Caenorhabditis elegans: one gene and its partner. The protein of the gene in region 1 purifies or fractionates together with the protein of each later gene. This does not show direct contact. Each region holds a gene or a part of one and is shown in the gene's direction. Other genes may lie near its edges.

The links.
Region 2: the proteins of feh-1 (region 1) and apl-1 purify together in Caenorhabditis elegans (affinity purification with western blotting, with the first as the bait; one study listed by BioGRID). This does not show direct contact.

The regions. Positions count from the first base shown.
Region 1 is NC_003281.10:2,547,700-2,552,996, forward strand, and holds the start of feh-1 (Protein Fe65 homolog), read left to right. Parts: upstream 1-2,220; 5' UTR 2,221-2,232; coding exon 2,233-2,276; intron 2,277-2,370; coding exon 2,371-2,485; intron 2,486-5,297. UniProt on the Caenorhabditis elegans protein: Modulates pharyngeal pumping activity, at least in part by regulating expression of the acetylcholinesterase genes ace-1 and ace-2.
Region 2 is NC_003284.9:5,111,862-5,118,675, reverse strand, and holds apl-1 (Amyloid-beta-like protein), read left to right. Parts: upstream 1-1,809; 5' UTR 1,810-1,811; coding exon 1,812-1,877; intron 1,878-2,337; coding exon 2,338-2,505; intron 2,506-2,795; exon of another isoform or gene 2,796-2,927; intron 2,928-2,993; coding exon 2,994-3,120; intron 3,121-3,303; coding exon 3,304-3,537; intron 3,538-3,673; coding exon 3,674-3,766; intron 3,767-3,819; coding exon 3,820-3,953; intron 3,954-4,092; coding exon 4,093-4,302; intron 4,303-4,355; coding exon 4,356-4,552; intron 4,553-4,595; coding exon 4,596-4,778; intron 4,779-4,827; coding exon 4,828-5,026; intron 5,027-5,078; coding exon 5,079-5,207; intron 5,208-5,255; coding exon 5,256-5,576; 3' UTR 5,577-6,254; downstream 6,255-6,814. Other genes in the region: C42D8.1 (MARVEL domain-containing protein), read right to left, coding at 6,346-6,420. UniProt on the Caenorhabditis elegans protein: Required for normal developmental progression throughout all life stages. Specifically required for the molt stage during all larval transitions and morphogenesis.

The DNA.
Region 1 (5,297 bases):
GGCCGAATTTTTTCACGGCCATGTGCTAAAATTAGCCAATCTTTTTTGATAAATTCACAGTTTTCAATAATATTGGCGCGAATTTCAAATTTTTTGAAAAAATTAATTGGTTTAAAAAAATTTTGATTTGAAATTTGAAAAATAAATTTTCGAAAAAGTTTGTCGGGAAATTCAAATTTAAAATGTTTGCTATGAATATCAAATGTATATTTTCCAATTTAAAACATTCAATTTCAAATTTTAATTCTGGCGCGAACTAAAAATTTCAAAATTTTTCAGATACAAAATATCGGTGGCCGAATATTTTCTCATTCGCGGCCACGTACCAAAAAATGTGAAAAAAAAATCTCCAAATAAATTTGTATGTGAATCGCCAAAAAAAAATTTCGACGCAGATCTCTAAAAATATTGAAATTTTTCAAATAAATTTGGTGCGAACTTTAAGAATATTGATTTTTAAAAAACCTTTGAAAAAACATTTTGGCGCGAAATTCCAATTTAAAATTTTCAAAATTTCCAAAAAATTATACAATAATGTAGTCATAGTTTCCCAATTTCCATGAATCTTTTTTTTTCCCAAAAAAAAAAGAAAAAGTTACAAATAGTTAAACCCTTAACAAACTTTACAACTAGTCATCATCAACACTCATCAACATTCCTATGTTAACCTTTTCCCTGACTGAAGAAAAAAAAATTCTTTTCCCTTAAAATTTCAACAAACACATCTTTCTCTATGCTTTTTCCATACAATTCTCATATTTGCCGACACGCCTGTTGGCATCGCTTGCGCAGCTCGCGGAGCAGCTTCAGGAGCAAACAGTCTCACACATTGGGAAGAGGAAAAGCAGACGAAGAAGAAGAAAAGAAGTCGAGATTTTAACATTTTTGTGTGTGTGTGTTTTTATAAGTGTCTCTATCTATTTTCCCACCATTCTTGAACCATGTGTCAATTTTTTTTAACGCAACATTTTAAGCTCATTTTTCGAACTTTTACAAGAAATGTATCTTATTTGAAAAAAAAAACATTTAAGTAGATAGACAGACCCCTATGAAAATTCATATCATTTTGAACTAGAAAAAATGTTGCTCCCGGGAGCAAATTTTTTTTAAGACCATTTTTTTCGATAAATTTTTTTTTCGCACTCTATATGTTTTTTCCAAGTCTAATTAATTTTTACAATTATATTTTCACCTCAATTTTGTTTCTTTTTTTTGAAAAAAAAATCGGAATTTTTTGAAATGCGAAAAATTTTCAAAAATTTTTTTTTGAAATTTTTTTTTCTGTAACTTTGATATTACCTGAATTTGCCATTTTAACTATTTTTAAAAATTTTTCAGTGCTATAACAGTGCTTTAAATTTACAGAGACTTTCACTTTTCCGAAAGTTTTAGAAAAAAAAACAATTTTTGACTGAAGATTTTTTTGAGAACTTCTGAATTTTTTTAAATTTCAGATCGGCTTTTTCGTGATAATATTTTTTCTAATATATTTTTTCAAATTTCAAAAACATTTATTGCTACGAATTAAAGTTGATTATATCATAACTTTTAAAATTGTTTTCACCTTTCTGCATTTATTTTAGTTATAAGTTTTTTTCCGTTAAAGATGTTAAAAAATTGTCAACTAACAAAATATTTACTTAATATTTTTGAACAATTTGTTAGTTTGACACTTTTTAATATCACTTATGGTTCACAAAATATGCACGTTTTTAAAAAAAGTGCAAAGGCCTGACTTTATATGTTAAAACATGCATAACTTTTTAACTATAAGTGATATCAAAAAGTTGTCAACTAACAATGTGTTTGAAAATATTTTTTAAACATTTTAATAGTTGACAACTTTTTGATATCTCACACATGAACAAAGTTATAAGCAATTGAAAGTTAGTGCAAAAGCCTGAAATCTGAACACGATCAAATCTGTGAAAAAGAGAGGGACAGGTGTTATAAAACACTGAACAACTCAAAAACTATTTGAAAAGGAAAATTTAAATTAATAATTCTAATTACAGCATTTTTTTTTAACTTTAAGAACAAAACAATTTTGATTTGAAAAAAAAAGAAAAAAACTTGGAACGTTCAGCCAAATTCCGAGCGTCATTGCATAAAAATTTAGCAAATATTTATTGAAAAATCCAAAATTTAAGTTTTTAAACAATATTTTGCTCTACTTTTCTTGTTTTTTTTTCCAAAAACTCTTCCAAAAAAAAAAGCAAATTTTCAGCCGCAATGAGGGAAGGAACTCCGCGCGTCAGAATTGAAGTGAATAAGGGGTAAGTGAGTGCTCTTGACACCTCCCAGCCTCCATTTAATCCGTCCAGTTTCTTTTCTTTTTTGCACAGTTTTTGCTCATTCCTTTTATTGCAGCAGCAATCGACCCAGTCAATTTGTTTCCGAGTCAGAAGAGCAACGGCTGCAGCGAGTACAGAGTCGAGATTCTGATACGGCTACTATGAATTTTGTAACCGATGATCGAATGATGGTTAGTTTGAATTTTTTGATTTTTGCCTGCCTGCCTGCCTGCCTGCCTGACTACCTGCCTGATAGGTCGCCTTGCAGGCAGGCCGGTAGGCAGGTTCTCAGGGCCCGAATGCTGGCGTTTATTCTACCTATTGAATTTGAGTTTATTTAACTTAAAAAGAGAAATGATATTAATAAATTAGAAATTCTTTTTGAAATTTGAAGAACAAAAGTGTACTTTGCTAGTAGGTCGCCTTGTAGGCAGGTTTCTACGAATACCTGCATATTTTTTTCAAGCCTACAAGCATGCCTACGTGCCTGCCTTTTAGGAAAAAGCATGAGGCAGGCGTAGGCCGTGTTGAAGGCATGCTTACTGTACCTTCCGATTCAAAAATATACCGGAAACCCAGTTTTCTGATTGCTTATCACATTATCATAATAATAATAATCCCATTTTCAAACAACGTGCTCAAAAATTTCCTGTTTCCTCCTGTCGAAAAAAGAAAAAAAACAATAAAACACAATTTTGTAGGAGCACCCTTTTCTCAAGAGTGGACATTGTGTTGAAATTGGATATCCGTTTTTCTTTTTTTCAATAAGTGCATATTCTTGTTCCCAACACTGTTCGTGACTCTTTTTTCTTCAAATTTTTGCATAAAAACATTTTTCGGATCGTTGTTCCGGAGTTCTTAGAGATCTTTCTTTTTTCGGCTCAGTAGACTTTGAAGCCCCGTATCTCTGAAAGTTTAAGTGCTAGAAAAAAGTTACAAACTCTAAAAATATTGAAAAAATGTGATAAATATTTTTGTGGTTGACAAATTTTTGATAACTTTAAACAGAGCTGAGATATGAGCCCTTAAAGTTAAACTTAAATATTTCCTCTGATACATTTCCCAATATTTATATCTCTACGGGACACCAATATTTGCTCAACTGCTCAAAATACAAAACACATTTTTTTGGCAAAAGAGAGTGCATAGTAAGCCAAAACAGAGCACAAAAAGATCATAAAACTTTTTTTTGGAATTTTGGCATAACTCAACTTGGACAAGGCAAAATGTAAAATGACCGCGAAAAAAGTTGATGGCCTAGTTTTTTGAGTTTCCACGGCCACGTAGCAAAGGGCCACACTTGACTGAGTGGTCACAAAAATTTCGTTTTTTAATTGGGCGGAATGGGCGGAGTGTCGTTGTTTGTGCGACCTCTGACAAACCCCAATAAAAAATTTTTTAAAGAAAACTTTTTCTTCCCGCCGAGCACATCAGAGTACTCGAAAAGATCCAGTTATATGTACGTTCTAGTACTACTTAGTAAACGAAAACTTTCTCAACTCTTTCTCTCAGAGAGAGAGATCTTGGGAAAGAAGAGATTTATGTGCACAAAGAGCATTTTGGTGGGGGCATCCACTTCACTTTTGCCCTCCCCATATCCTCGGGGCCCCCCATTTCTACCGCATTCATTTATTCCACTATTTGGCGGCTCAGGGCTGCTGGCATATACAAAAAGATTTCATCTCACCAGCCTCTCACCTCTTTTTTTTTTTGGAAGAAGACGTTGTCGGGGTCTTACACGAAAATCAGTCCCCATGAGAATTTACCCCCGGCGCCTCTTTGTTAAGACGGCTTCCATATTGGTATTAGTGTGTGGCCGTGAGATATTGATGGCTGGGAAACTCCTCACGACCGTGGCCTAGTTTGCTTTTTCTAGACCACGGAACCTTTTTTCCGAATTTTTTAGATTTTTCAGAAATTTTAAGGCTCGTTAACAAATTTCTCTAAAGGTTTTTTCCGAAATTTTCATTTATTTTTCTACATTTTTCGATTTTTTTCTAAAAATGTTTAATGTTTTTCCCGAAAACTTCCGATTTTTTTTGGAAAATTTTTTAGATTTTTTAACGAACTTTATTTTCGAAATTTTTAATGTTTCTTCTTGAAAAATTGATTTTTCTTCCACACCGCCTAATTGCAATATTAAGGGTATTAGTGACGTCATTATTTTTCTAAGCCAACTGTGACGTCGTTGTGTCGAAGGGGTTTCTAGGCCATCTGTGACGTCACTGATTTTTCAAAATAGTGCCTCACTAGTTTCTAGGCCACGAGTGGCGTAATTTCTCTTCCACATTGTCTTAGCAAACCTTCTAGGCCACGTGTGACGGCATTTCTTCCCCACTCATGACCGTTAAATTTTCTATGCCACCTATGACGTCATTTCTCTTCCACCAAATGATTTTTTGTGTTCCCTCCAAAGCAAAACCTCATAAAAAGTGGTTAGTCACCAAAAAAGAAAAGCGCAGGAAAACTTTCGACCGCTAGCCAATAGAAGAAACCAATTTCATTCGCCTTTTTTTTTGCTCGTTTCATTCGATCTTCATCTCTCTCTTTTTCTTTCCTCGCCTAACTTTGTTTTTTTTCTTCCATTTTCTTGCAAATTGAATTTACATGTATGTATGTGTACGAGATTATCGCCTAATATATGTTTTTCTCTCCTCTGAAGCTCCTCTCTTTTGTCCGCTTCTTCGTAATTTGCTAATCCTTTGGCTGGAAATAGAACAGCTGAAAATAGGATTTTTCCGAAAAAATTCGAATTTTTGTTCAAAAAACTTATGTTATTTCTTCTAAACGTCTAAAAATCCGATCTTTTTAACAAAAAATAGCCCAAAACCCCAAAAAACCGGAAAACAACGACGCTCCGATATTCCGCTTAACCACCACCACGTGTTGTTTAGAATTTCGATAGTTATCGTAATTTTCTGCAAAATGAATCAATATTTTTGTTTGGAAAATGTGATAAAACAATTTTAAATCACAAAATTAAATTTTCGCATAATTAAACTA
Region 2 (6,814 bases), on another chromosome or scaffold:
CATTTAATGCTCGGAAGTGTGCAATTTTACAACCTTCAAGTTGCGGTTTTGAAATGTTTTCAAAACTGGTTTGAAAATCTTCGACTAACTTAGTTATTAAAAACCCCACGTAGTGAGATGAAGTTACAAAGTGCTCAGCGAGTATCTTACAGAGTTCAAACCACGAAAATGTAAATGTCAAGCGGAAAAAGGTCATATTGCTTCCTGTCTACTTTTGCTCTTTGAACATCCGTTTGAAAAACATTCAGACAGTGGAGCGGATTTCCATAGATTTTGATATTTCCTGTTTTTTTTTTGAAAATGGGTTTTCAATTTTGATGTCAGGTGCATCACATGAGCATTAGCAATATCTATGGTTTCCAAAAACGGTGCTTCTGCGTCCTCTTTCCAAATTTCCCGTTCCTCTTCTTAGAGACGATCTATCGGATGTTATTATTATTTCTATTTACTTATTTATCCTTTATCCTTTGATAAACCTCATGCAGTTTGGCAAACTGGTCAAGAACGCCCCATTTCTGCTCTAGCTCCGCCCAGCTTCCCTTATTCTGCCCGCAGCTCACTCTTTAATGTTCTCACCTTATCAACGCCACCCAGAGTGTGTGCAGAGGCAAAGTTAAACCAACTGCGGAAGGCATTCGTTTTCCGACATCAAATATATTTAAAATATCAAATATCTTCTCCCAATGTTGACACTGCGTTTTTGAGTAATCTTCTCCGATGTTTCCCGATCCACATTTTTTTCATCCATCCTTGAATCAAAAACAGATAGAGTGAATAGAACTTTGATAAAAATCTAAATCAAATAGGAGAAAAAAAAGTTTCCAAGTACAGTATCCATTCTTCTACAAGTCTCTAAGTCTCTCTTCTTCATCTCTAATCTTGTTTAGGAAGAGCTAACCTTGTTTAGTTTTTTGTGCTGCTCCTGTTGCTGATGCTCTTTTTCATTTGTACATCCTCCTTTTCTCTTCTTCTTTGTGTCTGCTTGCAACAACCATCTCGGCATCTTCGGAGCATCGACATTGAACGATAATTGGGTTTTAGGTGCCTGAATTTCGACGGAGGGAGGCCTCAGGGTTTCATTCGACATGGCACAACGAGATAAAGAAAAAACCACAAAATCGACGAATCAACATTGAAAAGTTGACAAAAAATTAAACATTCTTCCTTGTTCCTTTTTGGTTCCGTTTCCTTCTTGTGTTTGAGCTCTTTGGTTCCTTATATCTGTCTATCAATCTTCAAAAGTTCAGAATTCTTGTGCTTGTTTCCATACCCATTTTTGGCAGTATGATGTGTACATACTTCACTTCAAAAGTTTTGTGGAAGAGAACTACTTGTATGTTTGCCCTTGTGAGAGCGATGTCTGTTTTCATTTCGTCATACTCCATCTCTTCATCGTGTTTCTATCAATCTTCTTTTGTAATTTATCGATTGTACCCTCTACCCACGTTCACTTTTATCATTACCGTGATTTGTCGTCGGCGCTGCTTTCCCGAGTGTGTGTGATGCTACACAGCCATTTCCCCCCATTTCTTCAATTTACTAATTCCTTCATTCCAATTTTGGATGCGGCTGATCTGATCCGAAACGTCATGTCATGCAACCCAAATGTTCTCAGTTCTTGGTTGAAACGGGGAGGGTCATAAAAGTCGCTCCACTATACGATATCACTTCAACTTTACGCACAATACTCATCATCATTACATCCTTGCACTCTTCCACAATGTTTTTTTTTTCAATTCCTAAAACATTTCCCTCTTTTCTTTTCAACAGATTGACCTATATTTTTTTCTAATTCAGACATTTTTTCAGCCATGACGGTGGGTAAACTAATGATTGGCTTACTTATACCGATTCTTGTCGCCACAGTTTACGCAGAGGTATGTTTGTTTAATTGCAAAGGGGTTTGCGCGGGTCGATTCCCACTGACTCGTAACACCAAATTGATTGAAACCACCCGACCAGTCATACGACTGGCATTTAGAAAACCAAAGTTATTTTTGTTAAAGAACTCAATATTTTGATCAAAGATGCTTATTGTGTAATCACTTTAATCAGAACTAATCTAAGATTATATATGACTAGAACTCTCGACTAGATGTTCTATTTCCTAGCAACGAAAACGAACAAAATTGAATAATGCAAGTGCACTTTATTAGACTTTCTGGTCTCTGGGGGTAAAAGGGCAATGTTCAGAGAATGGATTACATATTTTGCATACTGTTGGAAGTCTTACATGAACATATTATAATAGCCTAACTTGTCGAAAAGCAATCAAGACTCAATCTCACAGCTCTCAAGCACCCCCACTCAAGTGCCAATTGCAAAATATTTTTGCAGGGTTCCCCAGCAGGCAGCAAGCGACATGAGAAGTTCATTCCAATGGTCGCATTTTCATGTGGATACCGCAACCAGTATATGACCGAAGAGGGATCATGGAAGACTGATGATGAACGATATGCCACCTGCTTCTCTGGCAAACTTGACATCCTCAAGTACTGCCGCAAGGTATTGTTTTGTATGGTTTTGGGTTGAACACAATCAAGCAATTTTCAATAAAAGTTTACGCCTTTTTTGCAAACATTTAATTTGGCGTTTTCATGCTCTAAGTCTTGCTCCGTGTAGTCACAAATGTCACAAATACAATTGAAATAGGGATAGGACCAACATTGCAAGGAAGACAATTAAACTTTAAACAACCATGGTTCTCTGGCTTTCACAAAACTTCCAATCCTTCAGGGATTTTTTGCTGCTTCTCATAGATTGTTCCGGAAACAAAACAGACATAGAGCAAAGATATACACATTCCCCGCGTGCTTCTTTTTCTCTCCCAACAAGGCGTAAATTTGAGTAAGGACCTCCCGTCGGTTAGTCCCATGGGGAGGTGAAGTTGAACACGCGACTCGATTGCACACATGAGTTTCTCAAGTTGGTAGTTGTACACATTTCTAAGAAATGGGGACACAAGAAATGTAACGAATCAAATCTCGTTTCAGGCTTATCCATCCATGAACATCACCAACATCGTCGAATACTCGCACGAAGTGAGCATCTCCGACTGGTGCCGCGAGGAAGGATCGCCATGCAAGTGGACTCACAGTGTCAGACCGTACCATTGCATTGGTGAGTTGTAATACATCAAATAATACTATGACAAGAAGCTGGATGTCAGCTTTTTTGCGTTTCTTTTAAGAAAGCTCACTGAAAATAAATTATGAGTTTCCGTGTCAATTAAATATCTAGTGAAAAGGGAAATTGAGAAAGATATTTAGAAACTGATTTTTAATCTCATTCCCCCCGTTACAGACGGAGAATTCCACTCGGAAGCTCTTCAAGTCCCGCACGACTGTCAATTCTCGCACGTCAACTCGCGCGACCAATGCAACGACTACCAGCACTGGAAGGATGAAGCTGGAAAGCAGTGCAAGACCAAGAAGTCCAAGGGCAACAAGGATATGATTGTCAGATCATTTGCCGTTCTTGAGCCATGCGCACTCGACATGTTCACCGGTGTTGAATTCGTCTGCTGTCCAAATGACCGTAAGTTACCATGACAGTTTCCAGATGAGTCAGTTGTAAGTGTCATAAGATGATATGACTTAGTACGGTGGAAATAAAAACATTAAGTAGAGGGATTAACGGAAAGTAGATCATTCATCATTTTTTTTCTCTGCAGAAACGAACAAGACTGATGTTCAAAAAACTAAAGAAGACGAAGACGACGACGACGATGAGGATGATGCTTATGAGGATGATTACTCAGAAGAGTGTAAGAAACGATAATTCTTTTTTCTAATTAAAGATTATATTTTTTATTTTCAGCCGACGAGAAGGACGAAGAGGAACCAAGTTCCCAAGATCCATACTTCAAGATTGCCAACTGGACCAACGAGCACGACGATTTTAAGAAGGCAGAAATGAGAATGGATGAGAAGCACAGAAAGAAGGTTGACAAGGTGAGATCAAGTGGATAATGATTTAAGGGAAGACTATGGAATTAGTATTAGATACCACTTTCGCAAATTGAATCTTCTTTGAAGTTAAAAAAGACTTTTAATTAAAAATTATTGCATGACACAAACTATGAATATTCAGGTGATGAAGGAGTGGGGAGATTTGGAGACGAGATACAACGAGCAAAAGGCCAAGGATCCAAAGGGAGCCGAGAAGTTCAAGTCTCAAATGAACGCCCGCTTCCAGAAGACCGTTTCTTCGCTCGAAGAAGAGCACAAGAGAATGCGAAAGGAGATCGAGGCGGTTCATGAGGAGCGTGTTCAGGCAATGCTTAACGAGAAGAAGAGAGATGTAAGAACTTAGGCGAAGTAAGACAACATAAACTAAATAATGTGTTTTTTCAGGCTACACACGATTATCGTCAAGCTCTCGCTACTCACGTCAACAAGCCAAACAAGCACTCTGTTCTCCAATCTCTTAAGGCTTACATCCGTGCAGAGGAGAAGGATCGCATGCACACTTTGAACAGATACCGTCACTTGCTGAAGGCCGATTCAAAGGAAGCTGCCGCATACAAGCCAACCGTTATTCATCGGCTTCGGTAATAGAATCAAACATTCCTGATTAAACTAAAATTTATTTAGCTACATCGATCTTCGCATCAACGGAACTCTTGCGATGCTTCGCGACTTCCCAGATCTTGAGAAATATGTCCGTCCAATTGCAGTCACCTACTGGAAGGACTACAGAGACGAGGTGTCACCAGATATCTCAGTTGAGGACAGTGAACTCACTCCAATCATCCACGATGATGAGTTCAGCAAAAAGTAAGAAAGACTCCGCTTTTCCATAGCATTCATTACAAGCGTTTTTCAGCGCCAAACTTGACGTGAAGGCTCCAACAACCACCGCCAAGCCAGTCAAGGAAACCGACAATGCTAAGGTTCTCCCAACCGAAGCATCTGACTCCGAGGAGGAAGCTGATGAATATTACGAGGATGAAGATGATGAGCAAGTTAAGAAGACACCTGACATGAAGAAGAAGGTCAAGGTTGTTGACATCAAGCCAAAGGAGGTAGGCGTTGAAAAAATTCTGAAAGTTTATCTGTAATTTATGGAACTTTCAGATCAAGGTCACAATAGAAGAGGAGAAGAAGGCTCCAAAATTGGTGGAAACATCAGTACAAACTGATGATGAGGACGATGATGAGGACTCTTCCTCGTCCACTTCATCCGAATCTGATGAAGATGAAGACGTAAGGGTTTCCAATCTTCATATTAATTTAATTGTTTGCATTTTTCAGAAAAACATCAAAGAGCTTCGTGTCGACATTGAGCCGATCATCGATGAGCCAGCCTCATTCTACCGCCACGACAAGCTCATCCAATCACCAGAAGTCGAGCGTTCAGCGTCCAGCGTCTTCCAACCATACGTCCTGGCATCGGCGATGTTCATCACCGCTATCTGCATCATCGCCTTTGCCATCACCAACGCTCGTCGTCGCCGTGCCATGCGCGGTTTCATCGAGGTAGACGTCTACACACCAGAGGAGCGTCATGTCGCTGGAATGCAAGTCAATGGCTATGAAAACCCGACGTACTCATTCTTCGACTCGAAGGCCTAAACCACCAAGACCGTACTTTTTTTACTCACTACTACCAACAATTTTACACCAAAATGATCCATTCTCCTATCTCAGATACACCTTTTTTCAAACTTTTGTTCTGAATAACATCAAAATTTCAAAATTCCATTCCCCTCCACCCTCCCTCTCTCTTCAAATAAAAAAGTTGTGAGTGTTACAAAATTATCAAAAATATTCAAAATTAAATTCAAAACCAATTCTCCCCGTAGCTGTTTCGTCATAACAACAAAAACCGGACACTCATGCTTGTTGTTCGTATTTTTTGATATCGATCTATCCGTTTCACACGAACTAAATTGAATATAATTCACGTGTTTTTAGTATTCAGAAGCACCGATCACCTTTCTATTTTTCCAACTCATTATTCTTTTCTTCAACACTTCCTAACCACCCCGATCTTGAAATACACCCTATTTCTTGTGATAGTCTTATTATGCACACTTCTCTCTGTCTTCCGATTTGCTCGTTTACTGAGTTTATTTCTTAAGAAAGTCAACAAACATTTGTATTAATAAAGAAGTCCAAAGATGAATTTGCATCCCAATATGCTTCTAAACTTTTTTCGTTTCACACATTTTATTGTCGTGAACTTCTACTCGTTTTCTTCTTTGTAACAACCTATTGTGAAAGTTTTCCAATAAAAAATCTGAAAAATACAGGAAACATTTAGTAATAATGATGAAAGAAAGAGAAATCAAAATTGCACATTACAACGTTTTTTTTTTTTGAAAGAAGAAGACGGTCAGAATTAGAAAGTTTCTTGGAAAATGAAATCAGTAGATCGCTTTGTATTGGTCGTTGTCGAACGCATCGAGCCCGGTCCCTGAAATTAAATCTATATGATAAATTGAGTGCATTAAGCAAATTATAAATAATGTCTGTTATCTTTTGTAAATTTAGAAAAAAAAACAATCTCCCGGTCATAACCACTTTAGAGGTTATGAGTTTAAATGAAAACAAAACATTAAAACGTTAAATATGACGTCAAATCTATAATTGTGATCAGAAAGATTTAAAACATCGATATGGGTTTTACAGTCACAAAATGACCATTTAAAGCCAAAGTCCAAAAAAATGTTACGTCGCTTCTTAAAAATTGATGATTTAACAGATTGTCTATTATAATTAAGCATTTAAAAGAATTTAAAAAAACATCATTTTTGGGAATAACTATACTTTAAAATGGGGGTAGGTTCTGTAGGTTTTTGGCTTAAATG